Linked DNA regions of Schizosaccharomyces pombe. The protein of the gene in region 1 purifies or fractionates together with the protein of each later gene. This does not show direct contact. Each region holds a gene or a part of one and is shown in the gene's direction. Other genes may lie near its edges. The genes, in order: cft1, iss1 and pla1.

The links.
Region 2: the proteins of cft1 (region 1) and iss1 purify together in Schizosaccharomyces pombe (affinity purification with mass spectrometry, with the first as the bait; one study listed by BioGRID). This does not show direct contact.
Region 3: the proteins of cft1 (region 1) and pla1 purify together in Schizosaccharomyces pombe (affinity purification with mass spectrometry, with the first as the bait; one study listed by BioGRID). This does not show direct contact.

Annotation. Positions count from the first base shown.
Region 1 is NC_003423.3:1,111,711-1,115,466, forward strand, and holds the start of cft1 (mRNA processing protein Cft1), read left to right. Parts: upstream 1-1,559; 5' UTR 1,560-1,628; coding exon 1,629-3,756. Other genes in the region: erg27 (3-keto sterol reductase), read left to right, coding at 1-291; RNase P and RNase MRP subunit Pop8, read left to right, coding at 1,025-1,077, 1,119-1,277, 1,335-1,449. UniProt on the Schizosaccharomyces pombe protein: RNA-binding component of the cleavage and polyadenylation factor (CPF) complex, which plays a key role in polyadenylation-dependent pre-mRNA 3'-end formation and cooperates with cleavage factors including the CFIA complex and NAB4/CFIB.
Region 2 is NC_003424.3:752,132-755,887, forward strand, and holds iss1 (fip1-like pre-mRNA polyadenylation factor), read left to right. Parts: upstream 1-1,539; 5' UTR 1,540-1,572; coding exon 1,573-1,710; exon of another isoform or gene 1,711-1,755; coding exon 1,756-1,808; exon of another isoform or gene 1,809-1,855; coding exon 1,856-2,699; 3' UTR 2,700-2,948; coding exon of another isoform or gene 2,949-3,371; 3' UTR 3,372-3,545; downstream 3,546-3,756. Other genes in the region: nucleoporin Nup45, read right to left, coding at 57-165, 212-298, 342-948, 1,025-1,079; protein cum1, read right to left, coding at 2,949-3,371.
Region 3 is NC_003423.3:926,738-930,493, forward strand, and holds the start of pla1 (mRNA cleavage and polyadenylation specificity factor poly(A) polymerase Pla1), read left to right. Parts: upstream 1-2,147; 5' UTR 2,148-2,251; coding exon 2,252-3,707; intron 3,708-3,750; coding exon 3,751-3,756. Other genes in the region: gta1 (glutamyl-tRNA amidotransferase alpha subunit), read left to right, coding at 113-359, 406-1,231, 1,279-1,621. UniProt on the Schizosaccharomyces pombe protein: Polymerase that creates the 3'-poly(A) tail of mRNA's. May acquire specificity through interaction with a cleavage and polyadenylation factor (CF I).

The DNA of each region.
Region 1 (3,756 bases):
CTCGGTCCTATATTGGTTATGTGTGCAAAGCTCGGTTTCTATATTTGTCGCTTACTTGGAAGTCCTTGGCATACAATTTCTCCATACGTTGCTGCTTTTGCTTTTCTTTGGACTGCTTTACATGCTACCAAAGAAGATCAATCTATCAAGTGGGGAGCAGCCGTGACTCGTTTTGGTCATGAAAGAGTCCTCTCTACTCCTGTGGAATTAATTTTGCCTTCAGAGCAAGAGAAAGCTTTAGAATATATGACAAAACTTTACCAGGAATGGAAAAAGAAGCTGGTTTCGTAAAGGGAAACATTTACATATTCTCTTGCGCGGAGGCCTTGATAAAAATCTGGAGTACCAGTTAATTTTAAAGTGCACGAGACGAGGGGAGTTATGAAAGAACAATCCCTGATTCATTGCATTCTCAGTAAAACATTTTGAAAATTGCTTTTATCAAATTTTGCTACAATCGGTATAGATATCTTGACAAAATGAATAGATAAGGGGATTTTAACCAAGTCTGGAATATAGTTTATGTCTCAATTTAGTTAATACAAACATACGAATTTATTAGAACCTCGGACTCGGAAAAGTTTATATGAAGAATTCCGCGAGTTGCCGTCTTTGTCTCATGCTAGCTATAAGACCGCATTTCGTAAATTGTGTATCTGGATATATTTTATCAACCAGCAAAATTAAATTATGAAAAATAGCAATAATTCAAGTTATTAAATTTTTCTAATATTACACTTCGAATTGAAGGCTTCCTCATTTTGTTCAGCTGTTTGCTTTCTACAGGCATGAAAACAGGAAACATAATTAAACAGTACCTCAATTATTCGAAGATTAGCCTTCACATAACAGTTTATGTGATGGTACGATAATTTTAGTATGATAATTACGAGCTTGTAGATTCCACAGGAACTGCAGCAAATGCATCCTTAAACGTGTTGGTATCGTACTTACTCAGAAGTTTACTTCTCTATACAACTTTCACCAGACACGATCTGCCTTCCTTTTGAGTTAAAAAGAGGCCATGGTACTTCATCAACGTTTAAAAAGCGAATGGTCATATATAATACTTGAAGTGTAAGGAAGTCTGGGATAATTTGTTTCACTGACATACTTAGGGTTGGAGGTACTACCCCTATAGATGAAATAGACGATATTTCTTTACGACATCTCATCACATTAGCTCTAAATCAGTCATTTGGAATATTTGGGTCTGCAATTCCTATTGATTTTTTGCATCGACAATCAAAATTTTTGTATCTAAGGTGCCATAAAGAGTATGTCAACTACTGTAATTGTAATGTGCTATTTTACTTACTGAACAATAATAATAGGGATAAAAAGAAAGTCCTTGTGGCACTCGGATCCTATGTTCGCGAACCTGAACAAATAAGACTTATGGTATTACACGCTTCAGACTTTCCTTGTCAAGCGGTTCCTTTTTCATAAGTAAAAAGGATTGTATTATTATTATGTAAATTACTAGTTATTTAAAATGAATTGCTTTTAAAACCTACTTGTAGATTTTGTACACTGTATTTGGACGCGTCCAACTCCTTACTCTACCTCATCCTTTCCAGAAGCTCAACGTCCCAGTTGAAAGGCACATTTAATGTGGTATTTGCTTTATGTCAACCATATTTCAAGACCTAGTGGACTCTACAGTTATAAAAAATGCTGTCCAAGGCCAATTTACTTCTCTTGTATCTAATAACCTAGTGGTAAGTAAAGTGAATTCTTTACACCTTTTTGAGATTGAAAAGATTCAAAAAGATGAATCCAGTTTCCCATTAGATGATTCCTTGCAGAATGAATTCTCCACCAGCATAATCGATGAAAGTCAGGCGTTCATGGAGACAAATATGCATCTCATACGTACCAATGAACAAACTACCTACGTTCTTAGACTCGTTTCTCAAGTTAAAGTCTTCGGGACTATAACGGAAATATCGGCTTTGAAGGGAAAGGGAAGTAATGGGTGTGATTTGTTAATTATGCTTACCGACTATGCAAAAGTATCTACGTTGGAATGGGATATGCAAAGTCAGAGCTTCGTAACTAATAGTCTTCACTATTATGAAGATGTCAAATCTTCAAATATATGCTCCTCTCATACCCCTACACAGCTCTTGGTGGATCCGGATTCCGACTGTTGCCTATTACGATTTTTAACTGATATGATGGCTATTATTCCATATCCAGCTAACGAAGATTTGGATATGGAAGAGGCTGCTATAGAAAATTCTAAAATTTCTTCATCTTATGCCTACAAACCCTCCTTTGTCTTAGCTTCTTCTCAACTGGATGCTAGTATTTCACGAATTCTTGACGTTAAATTTCTATACGGATATCGCGAGCCTACACTAGCCATTCTATATAGTCCCGAACAGACTTCTACCGTTACTTTACCATTAAGAAAGGATACCGTTCTCTTTTCATTGGTAACTTTAGACTTAGAGCAACGCGCTAGTGCCGTTATTACTACCATTCAATCACTTCCCTACGATATCTACGCATCGGTTTCAATACCTACGCCTCTTGGAGGTTCTTTATTGTTGGGTGGAAATGAGCTTATATATGTTGATTCCGCTGGCCGGACTGTCGGTATCGGCGTAAATTCTTACTACTCAAAGTGTACTGATTTCCCACTTCAAGACCAGTCTGATTTTAACCTGGAACTAGAGGGGACTATTGCCATTCCCTTAACAAGTAGTAAGACTGAAACTCCCTTTGTCGTATTGGTGCACACGTCCGGTCAATTTTTTTATCTAGATTTTTTACTTGATGGTAAATCAGTCAAAGGACTGTCATTACAAGCTTTGGATTTAGAAATTAATGATGACTTTCTTAAATCAGGAATCACTTGTGCAGTGCCTGCTGGCGAAAATCTTGTTTTCTTAGGTAGCCAGACTACTGACAGTTATTTGCTTCGTTGGTCTCGGCGTACTACTAATGAGGAGGTAAGATTGGATGAAGGAGACGATACTCTTTATGGAACGAACGATGCTGAAATGGATGATATGCTTGATATTTATGAAACAGATGAATCCGTGGGTTCTAAAAGGAAGATTGCTTATGAAAACGGCCCGCTACGTCTAGAAATATGTGATGTATTGACAAATATTGGTCCAATTACTGACTTTGCCGTTGGAAAGGCAGGATCGTACTCCTATTTCCCTCAAGACAACCATGGACCTCTGGAATTGGTAGGTACAGCAGGAGCTGACGGTGCTGGCGGTCTTGTTGTTTTTCGGCGAAACATATTTCCATTAATAGCCGGTGAATTTCAATTTGACGGCTGTGAAGCACTATGGACCGTTAGTATTTCAGGAAAGCTACGAAATATGAAAAGCAGAATACAAGCTCAATACTCAAATCCCGAGTTAGAAACTTATCTTGTACTTTCTAAAGAGAAGGAGTCGTTTATATTTTTGGCAGGTGAAACCTTTGATGAGGTACAGCATTCTGACTTTTCTAAGGACTCGAAGACACTTAATGTCGGCTCTTTGCTTTCCGGTATGCGTATGGTTCAGATATGTCCTACTAGCCTGCGTGTATACGACTCAAATTTACGTCTTACTCAACTTTTTAATTTTAGCAAAAAACAAATAGTCGTCTCAACAAGCATTTGTGATCCTTGTATAATCGTTGTCTTTTTGGGTGGTGGAATCGCTCTTTACAAAATGGATTTAAAATCCCAAAGGCTGATCAAAACGGATTTACAAAATAGACTTTCGGATGTTAAGACAGCTTCTT
Region 2 (3,756 bases), on another chromosome or scaffold:
CTTTATTTTAGTTAGAAACAAATAAAACTTGGAGATAATAGAAGGAAATAACTCACTCTCTGTACTTCAGCGACATCATTAGGGACGGATTCAACCAATTCGGAAACAGTCCCCAACTTAGTTTGTAGTTCCTCTGCAAGTTGGATTTGGCTAAAAATTTCTTTGCTACGGACATGATTAGAACAAATTTTGTACATAAGGTAACACATACTCTAAGTCATCTAAAAATTTTTGAGTATTAGCGTTTAAGCTCGAGTATCTCGTCGTTGCATTAATAGCTGGATTAGAAGGGAGTTGCCTGTTTTTTTGTTAATGAAAAAAAAATTTAATAATTAACTTACGTTGTTGACGGTTGCTGCTGAGCTGCAGAAAAGAATGGAGTAGTTTGAGTATTATTGCTTAAACCAAAACCAGTTGAACCAGACGGTTGTGTGGATTGACCAAAAAGGCCAGCGGAAGCTGGTTGTGTAGAAAATTGACCAAAAGTCGAAGTATTAGGGCGGTTTTGATCAAATAGACCTCCTGTAGTTCCGATGTTAGACTGTCCGAAAAGAGAAGTATTTGCTTGAGCAGGCTGTGTTTGCGATTGTGTTTGATTTTGACCAGATAATCCAAATAATCCTCCAGTAGGGGCTGCTTGAGCAGGTTGTGCTTGTGTTTGATTCTGATTGAACAAACCACCAGGTGCTTGAGGTTTAGTAGTGGAAGCTCCAAACAGGCTGCCACCAGGTGCCGCTTGAGGGTTTTGTCCAAACAAATTTAGGCCGGGGGTAGTAGATGTAGCGTTTGGCTTATTTCCAAACAAGCTTCCACCAGTTTGAGGTTTTGTTTGACCAAAAGCTCCTCCTGTTACGCCTCCAAACCCAGTCGAAGCGGGCGTATTGGCCTGCGTATTGTTACCAAAAGTATTAGAAGAAAAAAGTCCTGTGCCTGCAGAAGTACCAGTATCTGAAAAGGTTAATATATGAATAAGCACAAAATTCGAAAAGTAAACTTGAAGACTTGTTCACCTAAAGAAACATACTTTGGTTTTGGGTTCCTGTGGACCCAAATGAGGGTGTTTTATTTAACCCGAACATTGCTTAAAGTATTAATACACGAATGTCCCTAGTGTAAATACCATGCAAAGATTATCATGAAAAACCACTCAGGTTATCTTTTCTAAAAAGGGTAATTGTAGAATCACAATCAATGATTAATATTATAATTAAGCAAAGATGGAAAAGATTAGTTATCTAAAGTTTCAAATTGAACTAGCTTTCAGGGTATCGTATAGTCAAATACTGCTGTGTTCGCAGAGCAAATTCAATTGTTAGTGTTAACTACAATGTGGCTCACTAAGTTGGCTTTCACGAGTGTTGGTCTGTTTCAACCCGTTTTAGCGCAAAATATTTTTACCCAGGTAAATGAAGTACGCTATGAAGTCCACTAGTATATACCGTACAACTCGGTACAATGTTTAGTGGACTAATGGCCCTAAGTGGTAAAGAAGAAGGAATCCATAATTTCAGGTGCGAGACTCAGTCAATGAATGGACTTGCCCCATATACATTTTAGAAGTGGGTTTTTACTATGTCAAATGCTGATCAGCACATGGATGTTGATGAGGATGAATATTTATATGGAGAAACCATAGAGGAACGGAATGATGGAGTTACAGTGTCAAATGCCAAGTCACCAGAGCAAGCAAGTGAAGAAAGCGATGATTCAGTAAGATTTCAATTAAAATGATACTGCTAACTGCTAATTTTGTAGGATATTGAATTTATCATTGAAACAAAGCCAGGTGAAAGAGCAGAACCATTAGGGTATGTAAACCAAAATAATTGATTTCAGATTATACTAATAATGTTAGTGGATCGATTGCAACATTAGGTTCAACCCGACCTTCTGCTAAACCTCAAGTAGAGAAAACTGCTGTCGAAGTAAAAACTACAGAACCCCAAGATTTATCGACAGCAGAAACTGCACCTAAAGTTGACATTGACGCTGTTCCTACAATTGATGGTAAAAACATTTTTGAGATTGATTTGGAGTCTTTTGATGATAAACCATGGCGCAAGCCTGGTGCAGATATCTCAGATTATTTTAACTATGGATTTGATGAATTTACATGGGCTGCTTACTGTGCCAAACAAACGACTTTGCGTGACGACTTTAGCCCCCAAAAATTTATGGCAAGTCTTGCTCAGATCCCGGGTCCTTTACCTTCTGGCAACGTACCATCACCTGCCGAGTTTCAAGCTATGATGGCTTCTGGATTTCCTCCATTTATGCCTATTCCTCCGCCTATTGGAGGCCCACAAGAGGATATGGGGTACTCGCGCAATTTTCCAGTCCATGCATCTTCAAACTATAATACTACACATACATCTGGTGGTGGTGTTCATTCAGGTGCAGCTACACCTAATGCGTATGTAAATAACAATCCTTCATCTTCTAGACGTGAAAGTGAAAGTCCAGCGAATTCCCCTAATATTACATCGAGTGCTGGTATGACGCATGCACAACCTACTCATAATCCTACATCGAGTTATGGGAATGGAGCCTCTACGAACTATAATGCCTCAAGACCTCCTAGTAACCATCCTCACAGTAGCAACTATCCTTCCTCATCAAGGCGAAAACCATCTCCGGACAGATACTCCAACTACTCCTCTAGAGGTTCTGGCGGCCGATATCGACGCAACAGATATTAAGATAAATACAATAACGTTTGTGTATGCAAATCTTAGGAGAATCGTTTTAATTGTATGCTATGGGGTGTCGACTACTTCTACAAGGACAACGGTTTCAAAAGTTAAAAGCTGGTGAATGAAATAATATTCATAAGATCATAAACATGTATACTCATCATTACTATGGAATTCTGTATTAACAACATAAAATCAAAACTGAAGATACTTCAGACACATCAAAGCAATGACGGGTAATCAACTGGGCAGCAATTAAGCTTGGGTTTCATCATCAATTTCTTCAAGGGCTCTTTGGGCGCGGGTTTTGGCTTGCTTGGATACATTAGGATTATGCATAGTAGCTTTATAACCTCCTCGGACATTTTCAATGTTCTTGCCCTCAAGTTGATCTTCTTCGACCAAATCACCTGTTTTCATAGGATCATCAACAAAACCCGACTCATCTCCCAACACATTTAGACCCTCCTCGTTGTCAAAGTCTGCATCCTCATCATAATCACCGAGATCCTCATAATCAAGATCACGGCCTCCAGCTTGAGCGGAATAATCACCAGTCTCTTGGCCGGAAGAATGACTTTCTATATAGTCTTCGGCTCTTTCTTTGGCTTGTTGTGATACATTGGGATTGTGTAGGGTGGCTTTCTTGCCAGCGAGAACACGATTAGGATCAGGCATTGTTTATAAATAAAATTGGAGTTCTTTCTGATTTAATAAAACGGCTTACAAAAAGTACTACGGTGCGAAATATTACTTCTTGAAAATTCGAATCGATAGTGATGTACCCCGTGCTCTATATATAATATTTGTAAGAGTCCTCGGAAATTGTGACATCAATTTATTTTCCATCCCATTCAGCATTTCGTAATGAGAATTGCAATCGTATTTTTGCTTTTGGGTTAATTCAGCGACAAATTAGCCCATTTGATTTTACGTAGACTATTTCGCTCAACAGATGATGCGGTACATCCGCTTTTCACTCGTTAATTGAAAGTAATTGAAACTAGCAGCTCTATCGATGCCATCATGTGGCGATGTGTAAAGTCTATATTTCATTCTCACG
Region 3 (3,756 bases), 180 kb from region 1:
GAAAAAGTCTTAGGTGTCATACCGATAATAGCTCACTACTTTATTCAACTATACAACAAGTTGGGTAATACATTATTTGCACGAAGTTAACGTCCAATGATTGATTGGTCGAATGAGTAATAAATATAACAATTTATTAAAAGAAGTTGCAGCTAAATATGCTAGTATCATTCTAAATGATGCGAAAATTAAGTCTTTAACTTCAATAAATAGTGCCGAATATCTATATGATTCATTTGTTGAAATTAGTAAATTACCACTGGAAAAGAAGCTTCCGTTAAAATGGAAACTGATTACAGTAAAGGAAAATATTTGCACGAAGACAAATTTAACCACGGCAGCCTCTAATATGTTGAAGGGTAGACAATAAGAATATATTTCAGTTACTAATTGCGGTTTAACTAGACTACAATTCTCCGTTTGATGCGTCAATTGTCGAAAGCTTGAAGAAAGCCGGCGGTATTATTCTTGGTAAAACAAATATGGATGAGTTTGCAATGGGAGTCAAGAGCGAAAACAATCTTTTTGGTCGCACTGTTAATCCTGTTGTTAAGGATAGTAATTACGATGTTGGGGGCAGCTCGGGAGGAGCTGCTGCTGCAATCGCGGCGGATATATGTTATGCATCAGTTGGTTCAGACACAGGAGGATCAATCCGTCTACCTGCTGCTTACGTAGGTTGTGTAGGTTTTAAACCATCTTTCGGCAGGATTTCGAGATATGGAATGCTTGCCTTTGCCAATAGTTTTGACACAGTGGGTATCGCTGCAAATAATGTTAAGGGCGTTACCAAAGTATTTAATGTTTTAGACCATCCCGACATAAATGACTCAACCTGTTTAACTAAAGAAGCTCGTTATTTTGTTAAAGAGCAGCACAAAAAATTATCGCGGAAGCCAATTAAAATAGGAATTCCAATTGACTGGAATGTTTCTGAGACTCATCCAAACGTTTTAGATAAGTGGAATGAATTCATATCTCTTCTGAAATCAAATGGTTATCTTGTCCAAGAAATACAGCTTCCAATTTCATTATACGCTAACAGTGTATATTCCACAATGGCTTATGCAGAAGCGACTTCAAATTTGGCTAAATATAATACTATCGCATTTGGCAATTGTTTAGATGAAAAGTTCGAAGAGGAAATAATTTCATCTACTGCACGCTCTTTTTTTTTAGGAGACGAAGTGAAAAAGAGGCTACTGCTAGGCGCTTATTCACTAGCAAGAATGTATGATATAACTGATTTACTAAGTAGTTACTAATATTTACAAATAGGAATTCCTCTGATTTGTTTTCTAAGGCTCGATACGTTCGCCGAGCCATACAGCTGGAATTCAACAAAAACTTTTTTCTACCTTCCTTTTCTGTCGATGATCCCAGGGGTGACATCGATTTCATAGTTACCCCTTCTTTTTTTAATTCCAGTCAACCCATTGAAACCCCGTCCTCTTATAGTCATCTTTCAGATACTATGTTAGTTCCAGCGAATATGGCTGGAATACCATCCGTTAGCATACCTTTCGGTACTTTGAACAATGGGCTTCCAATGGGAATTCAAATTATGGCCCAATATCTTAATGACGAAGATTTGTTGTCTTTTGCAGGCCAGTTTGCATAGATTTCGGCTGCTTATCTAAACTCTCGAAACATGGCTATGATAATCTTTATGAGCATAATAATTCTTTACTGTTTGGAATCAATTTCATACATTGAAACTTGTTTGCAAAGAGTTTTGGAGAACTTGTCATCAATAATTCGACAGTTTCCCTACAACTGCGGTAAATCCAATAAATAGATGTGGATTCTGAATCATTTACACTTCTCAGCAACATAAATTATTTTTACATTTCAAGTCGCTAGTTTATTCAACCAAAAAAAATGCATATCTGAAGGATGGAATTTAACGGGTAAGCTTTTAAATACAAAACCAGGAGCAATCGGTTTGTCAGATAATGAACATAGTGCACTGTCAAGATATATATGATAAACAGCAACAATTGTATAATTTACCAGATAAATTAAATTTGATTTAATCGAAATAAATGTCTCAGTGCAACTGTAAATGAATTTTTTGACATTATAATAAGATAACGCACTTTGTGAAATTGCGTATTTATGCCTTAAATCCTAAACGAATGCTAACCAGATCTACACATTTAGCATTAGTACGCTTTAAACCAGTTGTTTTTAAAGGTTAGGATAATTTAAAACAGCTACCTTTCAAGACTCCAATTTTTGTTTTCAAAGCATGACTACCAAGCAATGGGGTATTACACCGCCAATTAGTACTGCACCTGCTACTGAACAGGAAAATGCTTTGAATACGGCTTTAATTAATGAGTTGAAGAACCAAAACTTGTTTGAATCTCCTGCCGAATCTGAAAAAAGAGTAAAGGTTCTTGATGAGTTGCAACAAATAACGACAGAATTTGTAAAGAAAGTATCACTTGCCAAACATATGAACGAAAAGATGGCTAATGAGGCAGGGGGGAAAATTTTTACGTACGGAAGTTATAGACTGGGCGTTTATGGACCTGGATCAGACATAGATACCCTAGTCGTTGTACCCAAGCATGTTTCTCGCGACAATTTCTTTCAGGACTTGGAACCTATGCTTCGAGAAAGAGAAGAGGTAACTGACCTTGCTGCTGTACCTGACGCCTATGTTCCTATTATTAAGTTTAAATTTTTGGGAATAAGTATAGATTTAATTTTTGCTCGTCTTTCAGTTCCGCGTGTTCCCCGCGACCTCGAATTGTCTGATAATAACTTATTAAAGGGTGTTGAAGAAAGATGTGTGCTAAGTTTGAATGGTACACGTGTTACGGATCAGATTCTGCAGCTTGTCCCTAATCGTGCTGTTTTTAAGCATGCTTTAAGAGCCATAAAGTTTTGGGCTCAACGTCGTGCAATATACGCTAATGTCGTAGGATTTCCTGGAGGAGTCGCCTGGGCCATGATGGTAGCTCGAATTTGCCAACTATATCCGAATGCAGTATCTTCTGTGATTGTTGCTAAATTTTTTCGTATTCTTCATCAATGGAATTGGCCTCAACCAATATTGTTAAAGCCCATTGAAGATGGCCCCTTACAAGTACGTATCTGGAATCCAAAACTTTATCCATCCGACAAAGCTCACCGTATGCCAATTATAACCCCGGCTTATCCATCAATGTGTGCAACTCATAACATTACTTTATCCACCCAAACAATTATCCTTCGCGAAATGGTTCGGGCTGGAGAAATTGCTGACCAAATAATGGTCAAGGCTCTTCCCTGGTCAGCTTTGTTTCAAAAACACGACTTTTTTCATCGTTATAAGCATTATCTTACGATCACAGCAGCTGCTAAGACAGCTGAAGCTCAATTGAAGTGGGCAGGTTTGGTTGAATCTAAGCTTCGTCATTTGGTTACTAGACTGGAGCTTGTTGATGCTATTGCTTTGGCACATCCTTTCAATAAAGGATTTGATAAAGTGTATAATTGCTCCAGTGAAGAAGAAGCTCAACAAGTAGCTAGCGGCGTTACTCTTGAAGTCGCATATGAATCTACGGATCATGAAAAATTAGCCAACGATACAGTTAATGAAGAGAAAGCCGACAATACTGAGAGTAAAGCTGATGGTTCTGAAAATGGTGAAAAACAAATTTTTCCTGTTTACACTACAACATGTTATATAGGGCTTGAACTTGAAAAGAAGAAAGGCAAGATACTACATTTTGAAATTAATTATGCTAACTTTATTAGGTCATC